4 linked regions of the Anolis sagrei genome follow. The protein of the gene in region 2 purifies or fractionates together with the protein of the main gene of each other region. This does not show direct contact. Links are inferred from orthologs where the notes say so. Each region holds a gene or a part of one and is shown on either strand. Other genes may lie near its edges. The genes, in order: NUFIP2, DDX6, ATXN2L and PATL1.

Region 1 (6,848 bases), on a different chromosome or scaffold from region 2:
GAACCCCATTTAAAGCCTCAAAGATACTCAAGTGGGGGGGGGGGGAGCCCCAAACCATCCCACATATAGGGGAAAGAACCCTATAATCACTCCGCCCAAAGTCCCTTTTCCCCTCATCTGGAAGGTACACAGAAAAGTGGGGGGACCCCTTGAAAGGAAGAAATCCTATCTCTTTGGAGAGATTCCCAAGAAGGGGGACCTCTAAAAGTCCCCTTTTCCCATTTGGAAGATACACAGACAAAAAGGGGGACCCTTGAGAGTCTCTTTGGAAAGTTAAGAAAAAAGCGGGGTCCCAAGAGAAACGGGGACCCATTGAAAGTCCTTTTGGGGGGGTACCCAAGAAAACTTCTCTTTCCATTGGGAAGGTTCCCAAAAAGTAGGGGACACCCTAAAAGTGTTAGAATCCATCCCTTAAAGAAATGCAAAACAGCAACAATGTCCTCTCAAAATATGGGGGTGCTGTTGAAGGATCCCCCCCCCAAAAAAAACACAGACTTAAAGCTCTGGAAAGGTAATTAAGTTATCCAAAAATATGGGGTGTTGTTGAAGAGTCTCCCCTTTCCCTGGCTCTGTTCCTTCGCCTTGAAACAGCAACAGAATCCTCCCAAAATATGGGGGTGCTTTTGAAGGATCACCCCACAAAACCCAGACTTGAACCTCTGGAAAGGCAATTAAGTTATCCAAAAATATGGGGTGTTGTGGAAGGGTCTCCCCTTTCCCTCTCTTCCTTGGCCTTGAAACTGCAACAATGTCCCCCCAAAATATGGGGGTGCTGTTGAAGGACCTCTCCCCCAAAAAAACAGACTTAATCTTCCTCTGGAAAGGAAATAAGTTGTCAAAAATATGCGGTGTTATAGAAGAGTTTCCCCTTTCCTTGGCTCTCTTCCTTGGCCTTGAAACAGTAACAGTGTCCCCTCAAAATATGGGGGTGCTGTTGAAGTATCCCCCATAAAAAGACTTGATCTTTCTCTGGAAAGGCAATTAAGTTATGCAAAAATATGGGGTGTTGTTGATTCGTCTCTCCTTTCCCTGGCTCTCTTCCTTGGCCTTGAAACTGCAACAGTCCCTCCAAAATATGGGGGTGCTGTTGGAGGACCCCCCTCCCAAAACCAACCTTCAAGCTCAGATGTAGCTGGGAATAAACGTTATCCAAAAATATAGGGGAGTTGTGGAAGGATCTCCCCTTTCCCTGGCTCTCTTCCTTGGCCTTTAAACAGTAGCAGGGTCCTCCCAAAATATGGGGGTGCTGTTGAAGGATCCCCCAAAAAACCAGACTTAATCTTCCTCTGGAAAGGAAATAAGTTGACCAAAAATATGGGGTGTTGTGGAAGGATCTTCCCTTTCCCTGTCTCTCTTCCTTGACCCTTAAACAGTAACAGGATCCTCTTAAAATATGGGGGTGCTGTTGAAGGATCACCCCCCAAAAAACCCAGACTTGAAGCTCAGGAAAGGCAATTAAGTTATAAAAAATATGGGGGGTGTTGTTGAAGGGTCTCCCCTTTCCCTGGCTCTCTTCCTTGGCCTTGAAACTGCAACAGTGTCCCCCCAAAATATGGGGGTGCTGTTGAAATATCCCCCCCAAAAAACCCAGACTTGAACCTCAGGAAAGGAAATAAGTTATCAAAAATATGGGGTGTTGTGGAAGGATCTTCCCTTTCCATGTCTCTCTTCCTTGGCCTTGAAACAGTAAGTGTCCCCCCAAAATATGGGGGTGCTGTTGAAGTATCCCCCCAAAAAATCAGACTTGATCTTCCTCTGGAAAGGCAATAAGTTATCCAAAAATATGGGGTGTTGTGGAAGGGTCTCCCCTTTCCCTGGCTCTCTTCCTTCGCCTTTGGCTCTATTTCCCCCCTTTCCCCCCTACTTAGGGTACCCCAAAACCTTCCCTCCATCCATAGAAAACCTAAAGACCCCCCAAAAAATATTTCAAATCCACCCTCCCCCAAAAATACCATTCCTCTTCCCTTGTGCTTCCCTTTGGGTGGGGCGAGACTTGGGAAGGCGCGTGGAGAGGCGCCTTTTGGGCCTGGCTTTGCACCCCTTTCCCGACCCCAAAGCGGGCACCCCATCCTTTAGACATCCCCCCAAGAGTCCCTTGTACCCATAGGGGGCGAATTTCCCTTTCCAGACCCCCCAAAAGACGGTATTTTTCCCCCCACAACCACCTTTTCCTGTGCGCCTTGGCCGCGCCTAGCCAAGGCGCAAAAGAGGGGAAAAAATGGAGAGGGGGATAGGGGGACCCTCTTCGTGACGTTCCCACGCCTCGCGTGTACACCCTAGCGACCCCATTCCAACGGGATCGTGTTCCCCATCGTTTTATGTATAAACACCCTAAAAATCGTTTCGATGGGGTGTTGTTAAGTACCCCAAAAACCGTGCGTAAAAAGGCACCTCTCCAAAAAGGGACCCCTCTCCTTCGGAGAGGGGTCCCTTTTTGGAGAGGTGCCTTTTTACGCACGGTTTACTCCCCCGCGGAAAACCCACCTGTTCTCCTTCGGGTCGGCTCCTGGGCGGCTTGGGGGTTCCCCCCAAAGCTCCCCACTGTCCCCCCGTTCCTGGGGTCGTGTTTGGGGTTCCTCTGTGGGGCCAAAGGGGCCTTCCTCTCATTCCCATTGGCCCCATGGTTGCTGCTGCTTCCTCCTCCAATTCCTCCTCCTCCTCCTCCTTCGTAATGCTGGTGATGCTGGTGGTGGTTGTGGTTGTAGTAGTAGTAGTGGTGGTGGTGGTGATGGTGGTGGTGGTGGGGATGATGGGAATGGTGGTGCGATGCAGAGGAAGGAGGGAGAGGGTGCTGCTCCTCCATTGAAAAGCCCCCCTCTTGGCTCGCTCTCTCTCTCTCTCTCTGCCACAAAATAGCAAAAATGTATCAACACAGATACACAGAGGAGTAACAGTAGCAGCAGAAGAAGAAGGAGAAGAAATAGGAGGAGAAGAAGGAGCAGTTCCTCGTTGGCTCGGGAGCGCGCGCAGGGCCCAAGACAAGCGCGCCCCCGCCTGATTGGCACCTCTCTCCCTCCCCCTTCAGACCAATCAGAAGCCTCTCCGGTCTCTCTTTAGGTCCCACCTCCTTCTTTCCGCTTTCCCAAGGCAAGGCAAGGAAGGAAGAGAGGAAGGAGGGAAGAAGGAGGGAGGGAGGGAGTGCGCGTGCCCGCCCCTTCCTCCTCCTCCTCCTCCTCCTCTTCTGAGAAAGGCAGACGTGGAAAAAGCTCTGCTTCTTCTGGAGCCTTCGGGGACTTTCGCGGGGTGGCTCCTTCTTTCCTTCTTTCTCTTTTCCTCTCCTTCTTTCCTCTCTCTCTTTTTCTTTCTTTCCTTCCTCTTTCACTCTCTCCTCCCCCTTTCTCTTTCTTTCCTTCCTCCCTTTTTCTCCCCTTCCTCTTTCTTTTCTCTCTTCCCATATTTCCAGTCTCGCCTTCTTCTCTTTCTTTCCTTCTCCGTTCCTCTCATTTCCTTCCTCTCCTTCTTTCCTTTCTCTTTCCTTTCATCTCTCTTCCTCCCCTTTCTCTTTCCTTCTCCTCTCCTTTCTCTTTCCTTTCATCTCTCTTCCTCCTCTTTCTTTCCTTCTCCTCTTCCCCTCCTTCTTTCCTTTCTCTCTTTCCTTCTTCTCTTTCTCTTTCCTTCCTTATCTCTTCCTCTCCTTTCTCTCTTTCCTTCTCCTCTTCCTCTCCTTCTCTTTCTCTTTCCTTCTCCTCATCCCCTCCTTTTTTTCCTTTCTCTCTTTCCTTCTCTCTTCCTTTCCTTCTTCTCTTCCTCTCCTTTTTCTCTTTCCTTTCTTCTCTCTTCCTTTCCTTTCCCTCCTCTCCTTCTTTCCTTTCTCTTTCCTTCCTCTCTTCTTATCCTTTCCTTTTTCTCTTTCCTTCTTTCTCTCTTCCTCTCCTTTCTCCTTTCCTCTCCTTCTTTCCTTTCTCTTTCCTTCCATCTTTCTTCCCTTTCTCTTTCCTCCTCCTCCTCCTCTTCTGAGAAAGGCAGACGTGGAAAAAGCTCTGCTTCTTCTGGAGCCTTCGGGGACTTTCGTGGGGTGGCTCCTTCTTTCCTTTTTTTTCTCTTTCCCTCTTTTTCTTTTCCTCTCCTTCTTTCCTCTCTCTCTTGTTTTTCTTTCTTTCCTCTTTCTCTTTCTCTCCTTCCTCCCTTTCTCTCCCCTTCCTTCTCCCTTCCTCTCCTTTTCTTCTTCCTCTCTTCCTCTCATTTTTCTCTTTCTCTTTTCCTCTCCTTCTTTCCTTCTTCTCTTCCTTTCCTCTCTCTCTCTTGTTTTTCTTTCTTTCCTTCCTCTTTCACTCTCTCCTCCCTCTTTCTTTCTCTTTCTTTTCTTCCTCCCTTTCCCCTTCCTTCTCTCTTCCTCTCCTTTTCTTCTTCCTCTCTTCCTTTCCTTCTCCTTCCTTCATTCTCTCTTCCTCTCCTTTCTCTCTTTCCTTCCTTCTCTTTTCCTCTCCTTCTTTCCTTTCTCTCGCTCTCCTTTTTCTCTCCCTCTCCTCTCTCTCTCTCTTGTTTTTCTTTCTTTCCTTCCTCTTTCACTCTCTCCTCCCTCCTTCTTTCTTTCTCTTTCTTTTCTCTCTTCCCATATTTCCTGTCTCTCTTTCCTTCCTTCTCTCTTCCTCTCCTTCTTTCCTTTCTCTTTCCTTCCTTCCCTCTTCCCTTTCTCTTTCTTTCTTTTCCTCTCCCTTTCTCTCTTTCCTTTCTTCTCTCTTCCTTTCTTTTCTCTCCTCCTTTCCTTCTTTTCTTTCTCTTTCCTTCCTCTCTTCTTATCATTTCCTTTTCTCCTTTCTTCCTTCTCTCTTCCTATCCTTCTTCTCTTTCTCTTTCCTTCCAACTCTCTTCCTCCCCTTTCTCTTTCCTTCTCCTCTTCCTCTCCCTTCCTTTCTCTTTCCTTTCTTCCCTCTTCCTCTCCTTCTTTCCTTTCTCTTTCCTTCCATCTTTCTTCCCTTTCTCTTTCCTCCTCCTCCTCCTCTTCTGAGAAAGGCAGACGTGGAAAAAGCTCTGCTTCTTCTGGAGCCTTCTGGGACTTTCGTGGGGTGGCTCCTTCTTTCCTTTTTCTCTCTTTCCTCTTTTCCTCTCCTTCTTTCCTCTCTCTCTTGATTTTCTTTCTTTCCTTCCTTTCTCCCTCTCCTCCCTCTTCCTCTTTCTTTCCTTCCTCCCTTTTTCTCCCCTTCGTCTTTCTTTTCTCTCTTCCCATATTTCCAGTCTCGCCTTCTTCTCTTTCTTTCCTTCTCTGTTCCTCTCATTTCCTTCCTCTCCTTCTTTCCTTTCTCTTTCCTTCCATCTCTCTTCCTCCCCTTTCTCTTTCCTTCTCCTCTCCTTTCTCTTTCCTTTCATCTCTCTTCCTCCTCTTTCTTTCCTTCTCCTCTTCCCCTCCTTCTTTCCTTTCTCTCTTTCCTTCTTCTGTTTCTCTTTCCTTCCTTATCTCTTCCTCTCCTTTCTCTCTTTCCTTCTCCTCTTCCTCTCCTTCTCTTTCTCTTTCCTTCTCCTCATCCCCTCCTTCTTTCCTTTCTCTCTTTCCTTCTCTCTTCCTCTTTTTCTCTTTCCTTTCTTCTCTCTTCCTTTCCTTTCCCTCCTCTCCTTCTTTCCTTTCTCTTTCCTTCTTCTCTTCTTATCCTTTCCTTTTTCTCTTTCCTTCCTTCTCTTTTCCTCTCCTTTCTCTCTTCCTCTCCTTCTTTCCTTTCTCTTTCCTTCCATCTTTCTTCCCTTTCTCTTTCATCCTCCTCCTCTTCTGAGAAAGGCAGATGTGGAAAAAGCTCTGCTTCTTCTGGACCCTTCGGGGACTTTTGTGGGGTGGCTCCTTCTTTCCTTTTTATCTCCTTTCCCCTCTCTCTTGTTTTTCTTTCTTTCCTTCCTCTTTCACTCTCTCCTCCCTCTTTCTCTCCTTCCTCCCTTTCTCTCCCCTTCCTTCTCTCTTTCTCTCCTTTTCTTCTTCCTCTTTTCCTCTCCTTCTTTCCTTTCTCCTACTCTCCTTTTTCTCTCCCTCTCCTCTCTCTCTTGTTTTTCTTTCTTTCCTTCCTCTTTCACTCTCTCCTCCCTCTTTCTTTCTTTCTTTCCTCTCTTTTTCTCCCCTTCCTTTCTTTTCTCTCTTCCCATATTTCCTGTCCCTCTTCCTTTCCTTCTTTCCTTTCTCTTTCTTTCCTTCTCTCTTCCTCTCCTTCTTCTCCTTCGTTTTCTCTCCTCCTTTCCTTTCTCTTTCTTTCCTTCTTTTTCTCTCCTTCTTTCCTTCCTTTCCTTCTCCCTTTTCTCTTCCTTTCCTCTCTCTCGTATTTTTCTTTCCTTCCTCTTTCACTCTCTCCTCCCTCTTTCTTTTTCTTTCTCTTTCTTTCCATCCTCCCTTTTTCTCCCCTTCTTTTTTCTTTTTTCTCTTCCCATATTTCCAGTCTCTTCTCCCCTCCTTCTTTCCTTTCTCTCTTTCTTTCCTTCTCTCTTCCTTTTCTTCTCTTCCTTTCCTTTCTCTTTCCTTCCTTCTCTCTTCCTTTTCTTCTCCTCTTCCTCTCCTTTCCTTTCTCTCTTTCCTTCCTTCTCTCTTCTGCTCCTTCTTCTCTTTCTCTTTCCTTCCTTCTCTCTTCCTCTTCTTCTTTCCTTTATTTCCTTTCTCCCTTTTTCTTGCCTTCCTCTTTCTTTTCTCTCTTCCTCTCCTTCTTTCCTTTCTCTTTCTTTCCATCTTTCTTCCTTCCCTTTCTCTTTCCTTCCTTCTCTTTTCCTCTCCGTCTTTCCTTTCTCTTGCTCTCCTTTTTCTCTTCCTTTCCTCTCTCTCTTGTATTTTTCGTTCCTTCTTTCACTCTCTCCTCCCTTTCTTTCTTTCTTTCTTTCCTTCCTCCCTTCCTTCTCTCTTCATCTCCTTCTTCTCTTTCTTTCCTTTCTTCTCTCTTCCT
Region 2 (7,887 bases):
TTGGTGGGGTTCAGAATATTCTTTGATTGTAGGTAAACTATAAATCCCAGCAACTACAACTCCCAAATGACAAAATCAATTTTTTTTTAGTGAAGGACATACATTGGGTTGTTAAGTGTCTTGTGTCCAAATTTGGTGTCAATTCGTCCTGTGGTTTTTGAGTTCTGCTAATCCCACAAATGAACATTACATATTTATATAAGATTATTATATGAATATATATATTATTAGCTTAACACAGGGGACAAGTCTTATTATTATTTTTAGTATTATGTTAATATTATTACATTTGTTAATTTAATTATTACATTTGGCCCTGCCATCCTTTTTTAAATTCTGTATGTTTTGATATTATTATTGTTTATTGTGTATTTTTTGTTTTTGAGTTTTTATTTTAACTGTTTTGTATTGATTATTGTTATTGCTTTTGTTTATTGATGTGCTGTGGGCTCCCTTGGGGAGATGGTAGCGGGGTACAAATAAAGTTATTATTAGTATTATTATATTAGCATTATATTAGTATTACTATATTGTTGTTATGCTATGTTTTTATTGAGGCCTTGGCCTGTGTAAGCCGCATTGAGTCCTTCGGGAGATGCTAGCGGGGTAGAAATAAAGTTAATAATAATAATAATAACAACAACTTTATTTGTACCCTGCTACCATCTCCCCAACACAATACACAATAACAACTTTATTTGTACCCCACTACCATCTCCTAACACAATATACAATTATTATTATTATTATATTAGCATTATACTAGTATTACTATATTGTTGTTATGCTACGTTTTTATTGAGGCCTTGGCCTGTGTAAGCCGCATCGAGTCCTTTAGGAGATGCTAGCGGGGTACAAATAAAGTTAATAATAACAACAACTTTATTTGTACCCCGCTACCATCTCCTAACACAATATACAATTATTATTATTATTTTTATTATTATTATATTAGCATTATATTAGTATTACTATATTGTTGTTATGTTATGTTTTTATTGAGGCCTTGGCCTAGTGTAAGCTGCATCGAGTCCTTCGGAAGATGCTAGCGGGGTACAAATAAAGTTAATAATAATAAGAATAATAATTGTATATTGTGTATATTAACTGTTTTGTATTGATTATTGTTATTGCTTTTGTTTATTGATGTGCTGTGGGCTCCCTTGGGGAGATGGTAGCGGGGTACAAATAAAGTTATTATTATTATTATATTAGCATTATATTAGTATTACTATAGTGTTGTATATTGTGGTTAATAACAATAATATATTGTGTATATTAACTGTTTTGTATTGATTATTGTTATTGCTTTTGTTATTGATGTGCTGTGGGCTCCCTTAGGGAGATGGTAGCAGGGTACAAATAAAGTTATTATTATTATTATTATTATTATTATATTAGCATTATATTAGTATTACCATAGCGTTGTATATTGTGGTTAATAATAACAATAATAATAATTGTATATTGTGTATATTAACTGTTTTGTATTGATTATTGTTATTGCTTTTGTTTATTGATGTGCTGTGGGTTCCCTTAGGGAGATGCTAGCGGGGTACAAATAAATTTGTTATTATTATTGTTATTATTATATTAGCATTATATTAGTATTACTATATTGTTGTTATGCTGTGTTTTTATTCAGGCCTTGGCCTGTGTAAGCCGCATCGAGTCCTTCGGGAGATGCTAGCGGGGTACAAATAAAGTTAATAATAACAATAATAATAATAGTATATTGTGTTGGTTATTGCTATTGCTTTTGTTTATTGATGTGCTGTGGGCTCCCTTAGGGAGATGGCAGTGGGGTACAAATAAAGTTATTATTATTATTATTATTAGCATTATATTAGTATTACTATAGTGTTGTATATTGTGGTTAATAATAAGAATAATTGTATATTGTGTATATTAACTGTTTTGTATTGATTATTGTTATTGCTTTTGTTATTGATGTGCTGTGGGCTCCCTTAGGGAGATGGCAGTGGGGTACAAATAAAGTTATTATTATTATATTAGCATTATATTAGTATTACTATAGTGTTGTATATTGTGGTTAATAATAAGAATAATTGTATATTGTGTATATTAACTGTTTTGTATTGATTATTGTTATTGCTTTTGTTATTGATGTGCTGTGGGCTCCCTTAGGGAGATGGCAGTGGGGTACAAATAAAGTTATTATTATATTAGCATTATATTAGTATTACTATAGTGTTGTATATTGTGGTTAATATAAGAATAATAATTGTATATTGTGTATATTAACTGTTTTGTATTGATTATTGCTATTGCTTTTGTTTACTGATGTGCTGTGGGCTCCCTTAGGGAGATGGTAGCGGGGTATAAATACAGTTAATATTACTATTATTATTATTATTATATTAGCATTATATTAATATTATTATGTTGTTGTATATTGTGTTAGGATACGCCCCTTTCGCCAAAAGAGTTGAGGGCGCAAACAAAGGTCGGCTGCATCCCGAAATTGGGGATGGAGAGAAGAAATGGGGAGAGTTTGTGGGAGAAAAAGAAGGGGGAGCGGGAGGGGGCGGGAAGGCGAGGCCGAGCCAGGGTGCGTGCTGGGCGGGGAAGCGCGCCACGCGAGGCCGGGGATGCGCTTCCCCCGCTAGGCCGCACCTCCCTCAGAGAGTCAGGAGCGAGGCCTGACTCAGGAGGGACGTCTCTCCCTTTCGAGCCCCGACCGGAAGCGGCGCCATTTGCATTTCCCCCCGCTTCCCTTTCCCTGGCCTTCCCTCAGCGAGGCCTCCCTTCCCTCGTCAGGCCTCGAGCCTGGGTTGGAGCTTACCCGCCCGCGCCCGGCTGTGGCTCCTTCCTCCGGCTGCGGCCCCTGGGCTCCCCCCTCCGCTCTCGCGCTCCCGCGCCTCCGCCCTCGGCCGCTGGCTCCTTTCGGGACGATGGCGGCCTGGGAGGCGGCGGCGACGGCAGCGGCAGCAACAGCGACGCGACAACAAGATGGCCGCTCTCTCCCTCCTTCCTCCTCCTCCTCCTCCTTCCCTTGCGTCCTTCCTCTCCACCAGGCCCCGCCTACTGCCCACTGCGCACGCGCGCCTTGCCAAAAGGGGGCGGGGCGACAGGGCGGCTCGGGCCTCGCCTCTGAGTGGCTCGGGAGAGCTGCCGTGGGCGGGGCTTCGTGAAGGGCACGCCCCCTTTTCGTTTTGTTTGGGTTGCAAGGAGAGGAAGGAAGCAGCTAATCTCTCTCTCTCTCTCTCTCTATCTATCTATCTATCTATCTATCTATCTTCTATCTATATCTATCTACTATCTATATCTATCTATCTTCTATCTATATCTATCTATCTATCTTCTATCTATATCTTTCTCTATCTATCTCTATCTATCGCTATCTATATCTATCTATCTAATCTATCAATCTATCTATGTCTATCAATCTATCTATCTAATCTATCTATATCTATCTAATCTATCTATATCTATCTATCAATCTATCTAATCTATCTATCCATCTAATCTATCTATATCTATCTATATCTATCTATCTATCTATCTATCTAATCTATCCAGAGAAGAGAATGATGCTGGGGAAAGTGGAAGGCAAAAGGAAGAGGGGCCAACCAAGGGCAAGATGGATGGATGGCATCCTTGAAGTGACTGGACTGACCTTGAAGGAGCTGGGGGTGGTGACGGCCGACAGGGAGCTCTGGCGTGGACTGGTCTATGAGGTCACGAAGAGTCGGAGACGACTGAACGAATGAACAACAACAATCTATCCATCTAATCTATCTATCTATATCTATCTATCTAATCTATCGCTATCTATCTATCTATATCTATCTATCTTCTATCTCTATCTATCTATCTTCTATCTATATCTATCTATCTATCTATCTATATCTAAAAATCAATCAATCTATCTATCTATCTATATTCTCTGTGCATAATGAGTATCTTAAAAACAAAATAACCAATGAACGAAATCACACCAAATTTGGCAACAAAACGTCTCACTACACAAGGAGTGACGATCACTCAAAAAAAGATGATTTTGTCATTTGGGAGTTGTAGTTGCTGGGATTTATAGTTCAGCTACAATCAAAAACATTCTGAACTCCACCAATGATGGAATTGAACCAATCTTGGCACACAGAACTCCCATGACCAACAGAAAATACTGGAAGGGTTCGGAGGGCAGTGTCCTTTGGTTTGGGAGTTGTAGTTCACCTACATCCAGAGGACACTGTGCACTCAGACAATGATGGATCTGGACCAAACTACACAAATACTCAATATGCCCAAATGTGAACACTGGTGGAGTTTGGAGAAAATAACCTTAACACTTGGGAGTTGTAGTAGCTGGGAGTTATAGTTCACCTACAATCAAAGAGCATTCTGAGCTCCAGCAACAACGGAATTGAACCAGTCTTGGCACACAGTTCTCCCATGACCAACAGAAAATACTGGAAGGGTTTGGTGGGCATTGTCCTTGGGTTTTGGAGTTGTAGTTCACCTACATCTAGAGAGCACTGTGGACTCAAATAATGATGGATCTGGACCAAACTTGGCACGAAGCCTCAATATGCCCAAGTATAAACACAGATGGAGTTTGGGGGAAATAGACCTTGACATTTCAGAATCGTAGTTACTGGGATTTATAGTTCCCCTACAATCAAGGAGCATTCTGAACCCCACCAGTAACGGAATTGGGCCAAACATCCCACACAGAACCCCCATGACCAACAGAAAATTCTGTGTTTCCTGGTGGTCTTTGGTGACCTTTCTAACACCCCCCTCGTGACCTCCCCCCCCCCCCCGGTATTGACTTCCCAGGTTGAGAAATGCTACCTTAAGGCCATCCAGTCCAACTCCCTTCACCAGGGCAAGAAAACATAATCAAAGTCCTCCTGACAAAGGGCCATCCAGGAATTCACACCCACACATATATGTATATGACAGATGCAGTATCAAAGATCTGAAAGGGACTCCTAAAGAAGGACAATGATATGTTGCATGTTCCAGAGTAGGCAAACCAGACACTCTCCACATCAACACTGACAAAGAAACAAGAAGAAATACTGTTTACCCACAAGCAGAAAGACATGACAGATATTAGAAACCAACACTTTCTCATTACTTTATTTTCCAGATCACCAGACCGGGCCACAGCAACACGTGGCAGGGGACCGCTAGTTATATATATATATGTGTGTGTGTGTGTGTGTTGTTCATTCGTTCACTCGCCTCCGACTCTTCGTTACCTCATGGACCAGCCCACGCCAGAGCTCCCTGTCGGCCGTCACCACCCCCAGCTCCTTCAAGGTCAGTCCAGTCCCTTCAAGGATGCCATCCCTCCATCTTGCCCTTGGTCGGCCCCTCTTCCTTTTGCCTTCCACTTTCCCCAGCATCATTGTCTTCTCTAGGCCTTGCTGTCTCCTCATGATGTGGCCAAAGGACTTCCTCTTGGTCTCTAGTCTCCTTCCCTCCAGTGAGCAGCCGGGCTTTCTTTCCTGGAGGATGGACTGGATGGATCTTCTCGCGGTCCAAGGCACTCTCTGCACTTTCCTCCAACACCACAGCTCAAAAGCATCTCTCTCCCTTCACTCAGCCTTCCCTAAGGTCCAGCTCTCACATCCGTAGGTGACTACAGGGAAGACCATGGCTTGGACTAGGCAATGGATCTTGGTTGCCAGTCTGATGTCTCTGCTCTTTACTCTTTGATCGAGACTGGACATTGCTCTCCTCCCAAGAAGGAAGCGTCTTCTGATTTCCTGGCCACAGTCTGCATCTGCACTCATCTTTGCGCCTAGAAATACAAACCCTGTCACGGCCTCCACATTTTCTCCCTCTATTTCCCAGTTGTCAATCATTCTTGTTGCCATAATCTTGGTTTTTTTGATGTTTATATATATTGCATTTGAATTCATACAAGAAAAAAAAAAGGAAAAAAGGATGGATTTTAATCTATTTTTAAATTTTAAATCTATTTTGTTGAATTTATACAAAAGAGAAAAAAGGAGGCAGTTTAATCTATTTTTTAAAAGTAATTTCTGTGCAGTTGAATTCATAGAAAGGAGGGGAAAAGTTGGTGGTTTATTTAAAAATTTATATAATTTTTTGCATTTGAATTCATACAAGAAAGAAAGGAAAAAAATATAAAAGGATGGATTTTAATCTATTTTTTAATTTTAAATATATTTTTAATCTATTTTGTTGAATGTATACAAAAGAGAAAAGGAGGCAGTTTAATCTATTATTTTAAAGTAATTTCTGTGCAGTTGAATTCATAGAGAGGAGGGGGAAAGTTTTATTTAATTTGTTATTAAAGTTGGCAGTTGAATCTATTTTAATGATTTGATTTTTTTTTTTGCAATGGTTTTTAATCACCTAATCATCTAATCACCTCTCAACAAAAGATTGCCCCAGGCACTGCCAGGCCATCAAATGCTAATCAAGGTGGTCAGTTGAAACATTCACACCTAGCTCCAGCAGACAAGAGTCCTTTGTCCCACCCTGGTCATTCCACAGAGATATAAACCCTTTTTCCTAGTTCCAACAGACCTCACTACCTCTGAGGATGCTTGCCATAGATGCAGGCGAAACGTCAGGAGAAAATGCCTCTAGACCATGGCCATATAGCCCGAAAAAACCTACAACAACCCAGTGATTCTGGCCATGAAAGCCTTCGACAAGGCCTTCTTCTGTCTCCTTCTTCAGGATTCCATTTGTGAGCCATCACCAGGTCTTCTCCTTGTCAACTCCCAGCAGGTCCAACCAAGCCAGAGAGGTCTCAGCTGAGATTGGAACCAAGAGCACCTAACCCATTAGTGTTATGGAGAAGCAAACCAAAACAAAGTCTATACTGGCTCAGCCAATGCCCAGGATAAAAAAGACCGTGGTGGATGCTGCTGATTCTGGACATCTATCAACAAGTGGGCTACAGAATCAAAATAACAATCACAAAAGCGGCAGAAATATACAATGCCAGAAAACCATATTATTATTATTATTATTATTATTATTATTATTATTATTAGGTTCTTGTGGGTTTTTTCGGGCTATATGGCCATGTTCTAGAGGCATTCTCTCCTGACGTTTCGCCTGCATCTATGGCAAGCATCCTCAGAGGTGTGAGGTCTGTTGGAATTAGGACAATGGGTTTATATATGTGGAATGGCTGGGGTGGGGCAAGGAGCTCTTCCCTGCTGCAGTTAGGTGTGAATGTTTAGCTGATCACCTTCATTAGCATTTGAAGGCCTGCCTGAGCCTGGGAAATTCTGTTGCTGGGAGGTGTTAATCTGTGCCTGGTTTTTTCCTCTCTGTTGTTTAGCTGTTATAATTTTAGAGTTTTTTAACACTGGTAGCCAGATCCTGCTCACCTTCATGCCCCCCCCCCCCCCCGCTGAAATTGTCCACATGCTTGTGGATTTCAATGGCTTCTCTGTGTAGTCCGACAATTTCAGCGGGGGGGGGGGGGGACATGAAGGTGAGGAGGATCTGGCTACCAGTGTTAAAAAACTCTAAAATTATAACAGCTAAACAACAATTTCATCATTGGTGGAGTTCAAAATGCTCTTTGATTGTAGGTGAACTATAAATCCCTGCAGCTACAACTCCCAAGTGTCAAGGTCTATTTTTTTTGAGTGAAGGACACACATTGGGTTGCTAAGTGTATGTTGTTCAAATTTGGTGTCAATTCCCCCAGTGGTTTTTGAATTCTGTTAATCCCACAAACGAACATTACATTTTTATTTATATAGATGATGATGATGATGATGATGATGATGATGATGATGATGATGATTAGACTCCATCAATGGCTGCCTTGACTTTGCAAGACCTGTTCCTCAGGGAAATCTCGTCCAACAAGTGGGGACAAAAGAGCTCCTTGACCCAGCCTAGAATTTGCCATGT
Region 3 (7,762 bases), on a different chromosome or scaffold from region 2:
TACTATTTATTATTTACTATATTTATATACCATCCCTCTCTGCCTGCAGGTGACTCGAGACGGTTTACAGTTGGTACCAAGACCATAAAATACAATTTCAATATAATAAAACAATAGAATAATAAAACCATGACAGAATCAATAAAAATACGTATCATTAGGGTCTCCTCATTAAAAACATTGTCCAGTCACATTGTCATTCATTCCATTTTCCTATGTCTGTTACTCTGTATTTGCAAATGCCTACTCAAAGAACCAAGTTTTAACTCTCTTCCAAAATGTTAAAAGGGAGGGGGCCGATCTGATGTCCTTAGGGAGGGCGTTCCATAGCCGAGAGGCCACCACTGAGAAGGCCCTGTCTCTCGTCCCCGCCAACTGTGCTTGTGACAAAGGCGAGACCAAGAGCAGGGCCTCTCCAGACGATCTTAAAGTCCTGAGAGGTTCATAGTATGCTTAACCCAAAACATACTATGCTTAAGCGACTGAAGGGGAAAAGGAAAGAGCCAGAGGCTGTTGGGAATTGTGAGAGTTGAAGTTAGCCCATGTCTGATTATTGCTTGTTGTTTAATATTGCTTTAACTGTTTTTAATTTGCTTTAGGTTTTGTATTGTTATGTTGTGTTTTGAGGCCTTGGCCTTTGTAAGCCGCATCGAGTCCTTCGGGAGATGCTAGCGGGGTACAAATAAAGTTAATAATAATAATAATAACTTCTTTTGAAAATGCATTTCAAATGTATTGCAGAGCCTTGTTCTACAAGACTTGGGTGAGTCTATTATGATGCAACAGAGATCAGTAACATATGTGTAACTTACATGGGAGTTAAAGTCCAAAGCACCTAAAGCAGTGGTTCTCAACCTGGGGTCCCCAGATGTTTTTGGCCCACAACTCCCAGAAATCTCAGCCAGTTTATCAGCTGTTAGGATTTCTGGGAATTGTAGGCCAGAAACATCTGGGGACCCCAGGTTGAGAACCAGGCATGTAGCCGCGGGGGGGGGGGGGGGGCTTTGGTGGCTTCCCCCCCCCCCCAAATTCTCATGGTGGTCCGCGAAAAGGCCTTCCTGGTACATTATTTAAACTGTTATGTTTATTCATATCATGATATGATCACCATGCTCAATATATCCCATATGCATGGGGGTATTGGGGTAATGATACAAAAGTATTGCTGAAGGCTTTCATGGCTGGAATCACTAGGTTCTTGTAGGTTTTTTCGGGCTATAGGGCCATGTTCTAGAGGCATTTCTCCTGACGAAACGTGCAGGCGAAACGTCAGGAGAAAAGCCTCTAGAACATGGCCCTATAGCCCGAAAAAACCTACAAGAACCTAATGATACAAAAGGTTTGCTAGGGCAGACCCTCTTTCACTCAGACTCAGCCCCCCCCCCCACCCCCCGGAAACAAAATCCTGGCTAGGGGCCTGTTGAGAACCACTGAAAAGGGCCTGACATAGATGCTACTGGGACATGGCCATAAAGCCTGAAAACCTCACACCAACCCTGCCTGTCTTCCATTTCTGCAAGGGGAGCCCCCCTCCATGTTGTCCCCCTCCCTCGCCCTGGGGCGGGGCACCCCATTGGCTAGAGCGCAGCCCAATCAGCGCCCGGAAATTCGGGCCTCCGCTTATCAGGGCCGCACACTCCTTTGGTCCCGCCCTCCTCCCCGCGGCCTGGCCAAGTCCTCTCTTCAACCCCTCACTGCGCGTCCACGCACCTCCCTCCCTCCCTGTACCCAAATTCCCCGGATGTAACATTAAAGTGATACCCACCTCGTCCCGCTTCCTCCCGGGGTCCCTCCTCCACCTCCTCCTCCGCTCCCGGGGGGCGCCACAGTGGCAACCCGGGCTCCCCCCGCGGCGCCGGGGCTGAGGCTGCCGTTGGGGCTGGCGGGCGGCGGGTTGGCCTTCCGTGAGGCGGCGGCGACGGTAGCCGAAGAGGTGCCGGCGGCTGCGAGGGGCGGCGTGGGCACGGAGGCCGGCGCCGGGCCCGAAGCCGGAGGGGCGGGTTGCGGTGAGGGCGGCGGCAGCGGCTGCTTCAACATGGCGGACGCCACAGGCTCAGCTTCCCGAGCCCGCCCGCCTGCCTGGCTTGCCTGCCTGAGCACAGGCGCACAGGAGGCCGTTGAGGCCTAGGATTCCCTTGAGGAGGTTCGAATTGAACCCGGAAGGGGAAGCCGGCCGGCGAAGGAGTTCCCTAGCTGACTGACTGACAGACAGACAAGACAGCGAGGGTGGTCACAAACGAGGGTTCTTAAAGGAGGAGGAGGAAGAGAACCTCAATCGACTCCCGCCCTTCGTTAGCCTAGGCCTTAGCGCGCGCGCGAGCGACTCACTGACTGACTGACTTCCCTGCTTGCCTTCTCTCAGAGCGTCGGGAGCGCGCTCGTTCCTTCGCTTTTTCAACGTAGGCCTCGAGGCCAAGGAACGGGTTTTTACGCTTGCTCGCGCGCGAGCGAGCGACGCGTCCTCTGATTGGTCGCCTGGCCCTGCCCTTTTTTTGTCGCGGGGGGGGAGGGGGGAAGGAGAGAGAAAGGAGAGAAGTTCTAAGGCTCGCGCTCCCTCTCTCTTTCTCGAGCGCGCGCGCTTCAGCCAATCAAGAGGCCGCGAGGAAGAGGCTCAAACCCGCGCAGGTGGGGGTTGGGGGAGGAGGGGGAAAGTCAGCCGTGTGCGCACGCGCAAAAGGAGGAAGTCAAAGCGAGAGAGAGAGAGAGAGAGGGGCGGGGGGAAGAGTGGTGATGTTGGCGCTGAGGGAGAAGAAGCCAACCCCCCTTTTTTTCCCCTTTCCCGACGCGAAACGGTTCCAAACCCCTTTTTTGTTTTCCGTCGAGCCGGGTTGTAGAGGTGGTTATTTTTTTGTTTTGTCCTCCCCCTCTTTTTTCCCCCCCTCTTTTAAGGAAAAAAGGGAAGTAGTACAGGATCCCGCTGGCGCCCGCGCGGACGAGAAGGAGTCAATCCGGTTGCTGCACAATGAGTCCCTGGTGGAAGGAGGGGCTTCGCGATTGCGCATGCGCCGAGAGAGGGCGCGCGCGCTCCCTCTCTCCCTCGGCCCCTCCTCCTTCTCCCGCGCGCGCACACGCACGCTCTCTACGTCTCCCTCTCTCCCTCGGCCCCTCCTCCCTCCTCCTCCCTACGTCTCCCACTAGCGCTTCCTCCCTCCGACCAATGTGTAGGATCGGGTTCCTGGCTGCGGGGGCGGGGGGGAAAGGGAAAGGAGGCGTTCCTCCGGTAAGGGCCCCCACTACACATGCGCAAGAGGAAACAAAGACCCAGGCCTGCCTCGTTATCGCCTGTTCGGAGTGCGCAGGCGCGGGACCCCGAGAGAGAGGGAAGTGGGAACGCCGCGCTTGCGCACAAACCTGCCGGGAGGGAGGGATAAGCCTTTGGGAGCCTCGCAGTGCGCATGGCTAGGGGGGCGTGGCCTCCTGCCAAGGCGCTGAAGCCCCGGATGTCGCTGGAAGGCCGTTGACCCCGTGTGACCCCAGTTCTTCAATGTCACGCGGGTTGCGCCGTAGCCACCTCAAGGACAACGCCACCCCTTCTTTGTATTTAGATTCGTAGTTATAATGTGTTATAGAGTACATTTTTAACAAATATGAGTATGTTACAGTACAGATAATAAGATTAGATCTGTAATAATGGGGAAAACACATTTTTTGTTAGAGAATTTCAGTTGCTTCCGCCTCAGCTGCTTAAGCCCTGGTGTTTTGGACTTGGGCCCTTCCAGATGTTTTGGACTTCAACCCCCACAATTTCTAACAGCCTCAGGCCCTTTCCTTTTCCCTCTCAGCCGCTTAATTATTTTATTTATTTATTCGGCAGTTTTGTAGTCTTCTCACCTCCATTCGAGGGACTCGGGCCGGTTTCCAACATCAATATTACAGACCGTCATTAAAACATCATATTTCTAAATCACACTAAAACATTGAAACAATTAAAATGTCAAAAATACAATCATGATTACAGTGGTCAGTCGTCATCAAAGTCATTATTAGTCGTCATCCATCCATATCACAGGATCATGGCTCATTCGTTGAATGCCAATCCCCAAAGCCAGGTTTTCACCTGTTTCCTGAACGTTAAGATCGAAGAGGCAGTTCTGATCTCCAGTGGAAGGGAGTTCCAGAGTCGAGGAGCCACCACCGAGAAGGGCCCCTCCAGATGATCTTAGTAATCTTGATGGCTCATAGGGGAGGATACATTCGGACAGGTAAATTGGGCCGGAGTCGTTTAGGGCTTTATAGGTTAAGACCAGCACTTTGAATTGTGCTCGGAAGCTGACTGGCAGCCAGTGGAGCTGGCGCAACAGAGGAGTAGTATGCTCCCTGTACCCCGCTCCCGTTAGTAACCTGGCTGCCGCACGTTGGACTAATTGAAGCTTAGTCTTCAGAGGCAACCCCACGTAGAGAGCGTTGCAGTAATCTAATCGGGATGTAACCAAAGCGTGGACCACCGTGGCCAAGTCAGACTTCCCAAGGTACGGGTGCAGCTGGCGCACGAGTTTTAATTGTGAAAAACCTCCCCTGACCACTGCCGAAACCTGGGGCTCCAGGCTCAGCGATGAGTCCAGGATCACTCCCAAGCTGCGAACCTGCGCCTTCAGGGGGAGTGTGCCCCCGTCAAGCACAGGCTGTAACCCTATGCCCTGTTCGGCCTTTCGACTGACCAGGAGTACCTCTGTCTTGTCAGGATTAAGTTTCAATCTGTTGTCCCTCATCCAGTCCATTATAGCGACCAAGCACTGGTTCAGGACTTAAGCGGCTGAGGGGGAAAAGGAAGGGGCCTGAGGCTGGTAGGAACTGTGAGAGTTGAAGCCCAAAACACCAGGAGGAAAGCTGAAGTTTGCCCATGCCTGATCCAGATTATCAAAGCAGATAATATTATTATTAAACTTTATTTATACCCCGCCACCATCTTCCCGAAGGGGACTCAGGGCAGCTAATATGAGGTCAAGCCAAGAATTACAGTACAATAAAATAAAATGCTAATAATAACAACAAAATTAAATAACAGAAAATGATATAAACAGATGCAAAACACAGTGATGAAGAAATAAAATAAAAGCACGGTGGGTGGGCTAAATGCACAGAATAAGACTGATAAAACCCTGGGAGAGATAAGTAAATGGAGAAATATGATGCTAAGGAAAATGGAAGGAAAAAAGGAAGAGGGGCCGACCAAGGGCAAGATGGATGGATGGCATCCTTGAAGTGACTGGCTTGACTCTGAAGGAGCTGGGGGTGGTGACAGCTGATAGGGAGCTCTGGCGTTGGCTGGTCCATGAGGTAACGAAGAGTCGGAAGCGACTGAATGAATTAACAACATGTGTCTGTGGGGGAGCTCAGAAGGGGCGAACAGTGGGATTGAGCCTTCATTAAAGACAAGGGAAAGTGGGACGGAAATGATGGAAGAGCCAGGTTTTTAGATCTTTCTTAAAGGCTGCCAGGGTGGGGGGCTTGCCTAATCTCACAAGGTGGCGAATTTCAAAGCTGAGGGGCCACAATGGAGAAGGCTCTCTCCCGCGTCCCCACAAGCCGCACTTGTGATGGAGATGGGAGCGAGAAGAGGGCCTCCCCCAAGGATTGAAGAGATTGCGCAGGATTGTAAAAGGAAATGCGGTCACGAAGGTAGTTGGGTCCCAAACCAGGGCTTTGTAGGTGATTAATGGCAACCAATTCAGTTCCTTAAACGGGGGTAGACAGCTCCCTGTAATTCACTCCTGATAGCAGTCTGGCTTCTAATCCACACTATCTGCTTTGAACTGGACTATATGGCAGTGCAGTCTAAGATAATCCACTCAAATCAGAGAATGTGGATTTTCTGCTTTGATAACGTGGATTAGAATGGGCATGAGAATTTGAATCCATTGCTGCATTGTAGTCTAGTCTCTGGAGCAGCAAAAACAAGTTTGCCCCTTTTCACATATTTATGCATGGCTTGGCTTGGCTTGTTTGTGCTGAAAATGAAGTTGATTTTGGGAGGCTTCCAAGATTTAAAATATTCAAAGGAAATAGTATTGGGTAGGTTTTGATTCTTAAGTTTTTGGTGCGGGCCATGCCTGCACGTCGGATATCAACAAATTTGATACAACTTACAAAGACTAACAAAAAATTGCACACCCTTAATAGCTATCATGTCTTCTCTCAATTTTCTATTCTGAAGGCTAAATATATTCAGCTTTTTAAGCCGCTCCCCTTACAGCATGTTTTTTAGATCTCTTATCATTCTAGTTGCCCTTCTCAGGATTACTTGACCACATCCTTCTCTAATTGTGGTACCCAGAAAAGGACATAGTATTCCAGGTGAGGTGTGAACAAGGCAGGATAGAGCTATTACTTCCCTTGATCTAGTATACCTCTCTTGATGCAGCTTAGAATTGCATTCCAGGTAGATTCAGTTAAGGAAGTTAGTCCTGCATTTGCAAGCCTGAAGCAGGATCACTGGTAAGGGTGACTTGGAGGTCTCTCATTGATAGGGTCACCGTAAATCAAAGTTGACTTAAGGCAGTTAACAACAACAAATTCTTTCCTGACAGGCGAATTCTTCTTCCTCCTCCTCCTCCTCCTCCTCCTCTTCTTCTTCTTTTCTTTTCTTTTCTAGGATATTTTATGATATATTTTAACAGAAAATTGCAATAAAGATTTTTTTTAAAAAAAGATGTTTTTAATAGGAGGCTAGTGCTGCAATCCTATATGTATATAACATGTGAATAAACCTTACCCAAAACAAAAACTTATGTGTAAATATATGTCTGGAAGAGGCTATGATTCTGACAGGTAAAAGTGTTAGTGAATTTAATTAATTCTGGTAAATGCTGCAGATGAACACTACTTGAGATGAAAATAATATTCAAGAATATTCACAACATTATTGAAAATAAGTTTCTTAAGGTTTGGAAAGGGGACACCAAGGTGGGAGAGATTCTGTGCAAAAAAAAAAAAAAGCAAGCATAGTCACACGCCTCGAAGTAAGGCAAGTGCAAAGCCCCTCTGAACAAATTCTTCCATGAAAACCCTGTGATAGGCCCACCATTGGGTCATCATAAGTCAGAAACAACTTGAAGACACATAAGAGCAGAGATCCTGCTATAGATAGTTTATGTGACAACTTGGTAGCTGAAGAATATAGCAGTGGCTGGGAGAAAATTGGAACAATGACCAACTGTTACAATACTATCATTTTCCCATGTTTCCTCTTAAATCATCCCTTCTTATCTGGAAAAATGTAATCAATATAAACATGGAGAAAACACCAATTATTCAAAATTAAGGACTTTAAAAAAAGGCAAGAAACATTGCCTCTACATATACTCCGGACTAAACAGCAAAATGTTGTCTTGAATTGACTCTTAAGAAATAGCCACGTACCTTTCTAAAATCTCAATGGAAACGAATTGGAAGAGTGCACACATAATGTGGGATGTGTAAACCTCCAATATTCCCAAAAGGTGATACATCTGAAATGTATGATTGGCTAATTAATATTAAATATCCTAGAAACAATGCTATAAAAACTGTCTGGAAAACAGATCTCATAATTACTACATTTTGGATGAAAGCTGGCACAAAGGTGGACATCTTTCTAAGAATCTAAAGGCAATGTGTAGGTGTCCTACCAAGCTAGCCAAAATTTGTTGTGGGCGAAATTGTATCCTCCTCTATCTTTGGCTAGAATTTTAGAGCGTTAAAAGTATTTTGATATACAGAACCATTAATGCTTAAAAGCAATATCGGTCAGAAGACAGAATTCAATGGCCCATTATTATTGCAA
Region 4 (7,530 bases), on a different chromosome or scaffold from region 2:
TCCTCAGGTACATCTTCAGATCTGAGGACGTAGACTAATACATCTACACTGCAAAGGTAATGCAGTTTGACACCAGTTTAATTGCCATCACTCAATGCAACAGAATCATGGCAATTGGAGTTTTATAGGGTCTTTAACCTTCTCTGCCAAAGAGTGCTGGTGCCTCACCAAATGATGACTCTCATGATTTCATAGTCATGGCAGGTGAAGGGGTTTCAAACTGCATTACCTCTACAGTGTAGATGAACATCCAGTCTACAAAACCTTATACTACCTTAATTGTTTCAATTTATAAAGATCCCTTTGCATACTGAAAATCCAGACTAATTTGGCTGTGTCTTTGAATATTTTCGCAGAGTTCTATTATAGAAGAGACAGTCTTGCTGGCAGAAGGTTCCGGCAGATGAGGAAAACTAATATAAAAGGGACTATCATTTGATAGAATGGAATAAGGGAATTCAAAAGGCATTTAATCAATTCAGACTCCTCTCCATCTCATCTAAAGCCTTAGGGCAAAGATTAGTTTTGTTAGTTATCACTTTTGCAGTCAGGAGACCAGCCATGAACCTAATATTCTGGAGGGTGGGCCTTGGTGTGGGGTCTTTATGCCATTCATGCCACAGGCACAGTACTCAGGGAGAAAGATGAATTGCTTCAACAACTTATCATGTGAGAATTTACTGCATAATCAAGATATATTATATGTAGGAAAAGCTTTTCCATCACAATAATGAAGTAATAAAAATAATAAAACAGTCTCCTAGATTCTTGCATTGCTGGTAGGCATACAATTTAGCTAAGAGAAAACTAAGATTGTTTTCTGCTCTTTGGAGACTAGGCCACAGAGCAACAGATTCAAATTACAGGAAAAGAGACTCCACATTAGGAAGAACTTCCTGACGGCAAAAGCTGTCTGGCAGTAGAATATGCTGCCTTGGTGTGTGGTGGAGATTCCTTCTTTGGAGGTTTTTAAGCTATCTATCGGGATTCTTTTGATCGTGTGTTCCTGCCTGACAGAATGGGGTTGGACTGGATGGTCGTTGAGGTCTCCTCTAACTCTATGATTCCTAAAGCTAAGATCTTATGGAGAGCTTAAGATCTTCTGGGAAGGTCCTCCTTTCGATCTCACCTTCTTCACAGCTGCAGTTGGTGGGGACGAGAGACAGGGCCTTCTCAGTGGTAGCCTCTCAGCTGTAGAACTCCCTCCCCAGTGAAATTAGATTAGCGCTCTCCCTCTTGGCCTTCAGAGAGAAAAGACTTGGCTGTGGGACCAAGCCTTTGGTCAGCGAGCAGTGCAAGAATTGAATAGGGAATATGTGCAATTGATAACTGGAATGGCTTCGGATTCCAATTTTGTATGTGATTTTAATGTTTATACTAAGATGCTTTAATGTCTGAATGTTGTTTGTGCTTTATGTTTTAATATGATTAATGTTTTTACTTTATAGTTATATGTAATGTCTAGATATTATGTTTTGGTCTCACGTGTATGTATGGCATTGAATTTTGCCATTATTATGTTGGAAACTGCTTAATAATAATAATCCCAAGTATAGACTCTGCAAGGAAGCAGATGAAACACTAGATCACATCCTCAGCTCCTGCAAGAAGATCATGCAAACAGACTACAAGCAGAGGCATAACATCGTTGCTCAGATGATTCATTGGAACTTGTGCCACAAATACCATCTGCCTGCGACAAAGAACTGGTGGGATCACAAGCCAGAAAATGAACACGTCAAACTCCTCTGGGACTTCCGAATTCAGACAGCCAGAGGTTTGGAGCACAATACTCCTGACCTCACGATCGTGTTAAAAAACAAAGTATGGGTCGAGAAACTGGAAAAGCTGACACCATATGAGGATTTAAAGATCAACCTGCAAAGACTCTTGCACAAGCCAGTAAAGGTGGTCCCAGTGGTGATCTAGCACCTTGTATTAGCATGCCCAGATTACAATACATACTAGCTCACAACACAAGCATCACAAGTTGCTGCTTCATCAGAATCCAATCTACTCCACTGTAGAAAGTTCTCTCCCTTCTATGTTCTCCAAAGCTTGAGGTTTCACTTCTCAAAACAAAAGGGTAGCAAGACAGATCAAGCATAGCATACACTTATAAACAGAAATTATTATCGCTTACTTCCTATCTCTATATTTTTAAAATCTTACTTTTTACCTTTTTTTTTTTTTTGCAAAAAGTATTTTGTTGGCGCAAATATCTGCAGTAGTGGGAATTGTTGTTTGCTAAGGCCTTGGTGCTCTTTAGCAGAAAAGGCCAAGATCTTGCAAAACTACAACTCCCATGACTCCATAGTATTGGGCCATGGCAGTTCAAGTAGTATCAAACAGGATCAATTCTAGAGTGCATATCAGGCCTGGGCAAACTTGGGCCCTCCAGGTGTTTTGGACTTCAACTCCCAGAATTCCTAACAGCCTCAGGCCCCTTCCTTTCCCCCCTCAGCCGACCTAGCAACAAAACGATCCCTTTCCTAAAGGCAACTGTTAGTTTATCCGCTTGTTTAAGGATGAGACGACAAAGTTTGAGGGGGGCGTTGCTATGGCACCTCGTCCTCTCGGTTGCTGTTATGTCTAAAGGAGATGCATGTGAACCGGGAGGAAGAGAAAAGCCACAAACGTAGAGACCCCAGACTCCCTCTTTTCCGCGCCTTCACCAAGCCTAGACGGGCTCGCGCCCAAATCACACCATGAGCGGGCGCGAAAGGAACTCTTTTGTCCGCTACGGCCCTCCTTAGGCAGGAACCCCCCCCCCGAGGGTCAAAGGTCACCTCTTTCGCTCCGCCGCCACCTCCTCCCTCGGCCCAAGGCTGAGGGAGAAGCAGCCATAGAGCCGCCGCCTCCAATGGCCCCGGAAGCCCGGCAGCCCACGAGATTCCCGGGGCCTCTCCTCACCTGGTAGCGGAACATGGCTGGCGGGGCGCGGAGGCTCCGCGCGGACCCTCGCTTCAGTCCCGGGCCCCCGCCCCCTCCGCTGCGCTGTGCTGCGTCTTGACGTCTCCGGGCGGACGCAAGGATTCCTCTTGCGTAGCTACTTTCGGCGCGCATGCGCACCAGCACCCGCATCCGGCGCCCAAGTCCCGCTATTTAAAGGGCAAGCGCTTCTTTTTCCCCTCTAAGGGAGGAGTCCTGTCTTAAAGGGACACCGCTTAGTTTTTCTTCCTCTAGGGCGGGGCGATCTACTGCGCTTTAGTTTGAGTTCCTCGACAAGCCTTGAAATCACACAGAAATTACAGCACTGGAAAATACATCCAAGGGCCCTTCCACACAGCCCTGTATCCCAGAATATCAAGGTAGAAAATCCCACATTATGTGAGTGTGGACTCAGGGCCCTTCCACACAGCCCTATATCCCAGGATATCAAGGCAGGAAATCCCACATTATCTGAGTGTGGACTCAGATAACCCAGTTCAAAGATATTTTGTGATATAGGGCTGTGTGGAAGGGCCCACAGTTTGGACTCGTATAACCCAGGGCCCTTCCACACAGCCCAATATCCCAGAATATCAAGGCAGAATAACGCACAATATCTGCTTTGAACTGGGTTATCTGAGTCCACACTCAGATAATGTGGTATTTTCTGCCTTGATATTCTGTGATATAGGGCTGTGTGGAAGGGCCCCCAGTTAATTCCAGAAAAGGCAACTTTTCCAAAAATGCCTCGAAGTCATATACAGGCAGTCCCCAAGTTGCAAACGATAGATTCAGTAGGTTTGCTCTTAAATTGAATTGTTTGTAAGTTGGAACAGATACATTTGTAAGTGTAATTCCAGCTAATATACTGCATTTAGCTCTTTTTTTAGCACAGGGAAGGGCTAACAGCCCCGTGGTGTTTGTTTTGCTGTCTCTGCCACTGTTATGAAGATTTCACTTCAGTTTCTGTTGCTGTGATAATTGGATTTTGAAAAATGTGGCTTGTTGTGGAAACAAGGAATGGCAAGAAAACTTCAGTTAGAACACTTTCCCCCCATGGAAATTCTTTCAGGAATGAATTTTGCTTTTGAGGGGTAGATTTCTCTCACTTCCTGTTGCCTCACCCCTGTTTTTATAAATATGAATAGTTTGTAAGTTGGATGTTTGTTGCTCGGGGACTGCCTGCAATTCAAATATCTCAGTATGTATTTTTATTTAGGATTTGAAGAATTGTGACTTTTGCACAGAAAAAGTTATTCCTCCCAACAAAGGATGCCCCCAAGCAGCAATCAGCCAGGCTTTGAAGCTACAAGAACATTAAATGCTCATCAAGATGATCAATTGCAACATTCACACTTGCCTCAAGCAGGCAAGAGTTCTTTCTCCGACCCTGGACATTCCAGAGAGATATAAACCTCACTGGCCTAGTTTCCAACAGACCTCACAACCTCTGAAGATGTCTGCCATAGATGTGGGCTAAATGTAAAGAGAGAATGCTTCAGGAACATGGCCACACATCCCAGAAAACTCACAGCAACCCAAAATGTATATTATTTTATATACTGCTCCATAGGTGGCCCATTTCATAGGTTTGGAACCCTGTGAAACCCACAGTAACTCTAGAACCCACAGTTATGATGCAAGTCGAGGCACACGTCTTGCAGCATTATGTTTGAATGTAATATCACTCTTACAGCATTCCACGCATGAAAATTGGGAAATGTGTGGCCTTTCTTGAGGAAATGTCATCAAGAGTTGTCCATGAGAGAAAACGTTACTAATGAGGAAGACCACGCAAGCAAGGAAAGGATGCAGCAGTTTGCTTTTGCCTATTAAGAAAAACAAGATCACACATTTTCCTCTCTCTACTGAATTGAATTAAAGTACGTACTTCACGGTTTGTTGTAACTTAGCAATTGAGTACAAAATGGGAACATCGAAGATAGAGAAGAACTGGAATGTTTTAAAAGCAGCAGTGGGTGGACAGAGGATTGAGCAGGACAATCCCTGCAAAACCAGGATAGTTGGAGGGCAGAAATTAAGGCCTCTTCTACACAGCTGTATAAAATCCATGTTATCTGCTTTGAAGTGGATTATATGGCAATGTAGACTTGGCTAATCTAGTTCAAAGTAAATAATGTAGGTTATCTGCATTGATATTCCGGTTTATATGGCAATGTTGAAGGACCCTAAGTGGTGGGTAACTGTGGCAATGTGAAGGGCCACTTTAATGCTCTAAAACCCTCCAAACATTGGAATTCCACTTCTGGGTATTTTCAGTTCTAAACAGTGCAAGGAGGCCTTGCAGTCTATTTGAAAGGTATATTATTGCTGCTAGAGGCTTCCGGGGCACAAAAATTCACCTTTTTTGGCCAGAAAAACCTTGTGGTGTTGCAGAGGTACCAACAGTCATGAAAACATCCCTTACCTACTCTTCAATAGCAATCTGCATATTAATAACCGGCTTCTTTATCTCACTCAAGTTTTAATCAGTTTTTTTTTCTTTTAAATTTTCCATGTAGCCCACCCATTGCCACTGTGATTGTGTTTATTGTAATTTTATACTGTTGTGTTTTTACATGCTTTATGTAATTATGATGGTATTGTTTACTGTCTGTGGTTTCAGGTTGCATTTTCAGTTTTATGCTGTTGTAATTTGTGTTTGGGCTTGGCCTCATGTAAGCCGCTCTGAGTGCCCATTGGGGAGATGGCGGCAAAGTATAAATAAAGTTTTTTATTATTATTAATGCATACTCTGTGTTTTCAAACACATATGGTCAAAGTACAGTGTTTTTAGTTGGTTCCTTAGATGCCATATTGAAGGACAGGGGTGGAAAAGTCAAGTGCTACCTAAAGGCTACATAAAGCCTTCAGCAACTCTAGGAAACCCCTATAGCTTCTGAACTCCATTTAGCTGCATGGCTATGAAACCTCCAGACATCGGGACTTAATAAAATAATATACTATTTTGCTTCTACTCACCTTTTAACAACTTAATGGTCACTCTTCTCATAAAGACCCATTTTCTGGACCATGTTGGCCTCTGGATTTTCCCTCCTCTCAAGAAGATCTGGAACAACTTCCATCATTCTCTGTTCTTAATTAACAAGCTCCAGGTGTTGCTTATCACACCCTTTAAGGCTTGTTTCCTATGAGGAAATCACCCCAAGAAGAAGAAAAAAAGCAATTGTCCTTTCTGATTAATTCCCCAGGAATGTAGCTATCATTTGGACAAATTAAATCACTCTCCCTAATAAAAACTTTGCGTGCCTATTTTCTTTGGATACTGAATTGTATTTCTAAGTGCCCAACTGAAGGGTTAAATGACTGCAATGCTAGAAATTTAGAGGTTGAAGCCAAATTCCATAGGGGAGGCAATGGTGACCTCCTCCTCGCTTCATCCCTGCCAGACAGTATGAGCCAATAAAGGGTTGAAAGCTTTGCAGGCTATCTGATGTTGGGGATTGGCATCTCCCTCCCATCCCTATACTAATAGAGAGTTCATGCCGCAGTTACAGATCCTTACTGAAGAAGAGGAGACACTAATGGCTTGCAGAAACAAAGTAAAAGGTTTATTCTAGGAACTCCATCCTAAAATAAGAAAGTTAATCAGGCTGCTGATTAAATCTAATTTCATTTTAAGGAGGAGCTGAGAGAAGACTGGCAAAAGAGAAAAAGAAAAACATCCATAAGTTGTTTATTTATTTACAGTATTTATATACCATTTTTCTCACCCCTAGGGCTGAGAAACCTACATCACAGAAGAGTTGGGATAAACAGGGCCATTCAGACTATCCAACCCTAATATTACAGCCCACTTTGAGACATCCTTGGAAACCTGTGGCTGACAGTATCAAATAGCTCCTAGACCAGTGTTGGTCCATGGGCTATGACTCAAAGTGGCACACATGTCAACCAGTGTTGATCACTAGAATGAAGATGAACAAAACATACAAATATAATTCATAAGGAGAAATGATATCTTCACTTCTCCTTATACAAACCATCTCCTCGAACTCAGATCTAGATTTTGATTTTTGTTTGGGCTACCTAGTTCCACCCCCACACTGGATCCTGCTGTAGCTTATCACTAACAGCAAGAAAAGAACAGGGAATCAAACACTGGTCTGAGTTGTAGTTATATGTTCAAACCATATTCCACACTACCTCTCTGGTGAAATTTTTTAAAGACAAATCCAGGTTGTTGCTATTCTATGTTTTCAAACTGACTCAGACTTAGTGTGATCCTATCCTAGCGCTTTCTTTGCAATACTTTTTCAGTGGTTTGCTTTAGTTTCCTCTGAGAGACTGTCTCTCCAAAGACCATCCAGTGGTTTTACGTGGTATTCAAACCCTAAATCATAGTCCAACATTCAAACCACACCACCACTGAACTCCCAGGACATTATTTCAGGACTATGTGTACAATAGCTTGTGAATAATGATTATAAAAATAGTGGGTTGTTGTAGGTTTTTTGGGCTATATGGCCATGTTCTAGAGGCATTCTCTCCTGACGTTTCGCCTGCATCTATGGCAAGCATCCTCAGAGGTAGTGAGGTCTGTTGAAACTAGGAAAATTGGTTTATATATCTGTGGAA

The links.
Region 1: the proteins of DDX6 (region 2) and NUFIP2 purify together in Homo sapiens (affinity purification with mass spectrometry; 6 studies listed by BioGRID and IntAct, counting the BioPlex papers as one, with this or other methods). This does not show direct contact. The link is inferred for Anolis sagrei from reciprocal best matches to the Homo sapiens genes DDX6 and NUFIP2.
Region 3: the proteins of DDX6 (region 2) and ATXN2L purify together in Homo sapiens (affinity purification with mass spectrometry; 6 studies listed by BioGRID and IntAct, with this or other methods). This does not show direct contact. The link is inferred for Anolis sagrei from reciprocal best matches to the Homo sapiens genes DDX6 and ATXN2L.
Region 4: the proteins of DDX6 (region 2) and PATL1 purify together in Homo sapiens (affinity purification with mass spectrometry; 6 studies listed by BioGRID and IntAct, with this or other methods). This does not show direct contact. The link is inferred for Anolis sagrei from reciprocal best matches to the Homo sapiens genes DDX6 and PATL1.

Annotation. Positions count from the first base shown.
Region 1 is NC_090031.1:34,092,717-34,099,564, reverse strand, and holds the start of NUFIP2 (FMR1-interacting protein NUFIP2), read right to left. Parts: upstream 3,015-6,848; 5' UTR 2,804-3,014; coding exon 2,485-2,803; intron 1-2,484. UniProt on the Homo sapiens protein: Binds RNA.
Region 2 is NC_090027.1:43,713,498-43,721,384, forward strand, and holds the start of DDX6 (probable ATP-dependent RNA helicase DDX6), read right to left. Parts: upstream 3,013-7,887; 5' UTR 2,807-3,012; intron 1-2,806.
Region 3 is NC_090026.1:22,718,066-22,725,827, forward strand, and holds the start of ATXN2L (ataxin-2-like protein), read right to left. Parts: upstream 3,004-7,762; 5' UTR 2,038-3,003; coding exon 1,766-2,037; intron 1-1,765. UniProt on the Homo sapiens protein: Involved in the regulation of stress granule and P-body formation.
Region 4 is NC_090021.1:234,834,488-234,842,017, forward strand, and holds the start of PATL1 (protein PAT1 homolog 1), read right to left. Parts: upstream 3,003-7,530; 5' UTR 2,929-3,002; coding exon 2,914-2,928; intron 1-2,913. UniProt on the Homo sapiens protein: RNA-binding protein involved in deadenylation-dependent decapping of mRNAs, leading to the degradation of mRNAs. Acts as a scaffold protein that connects deadenylation and decapping machinery.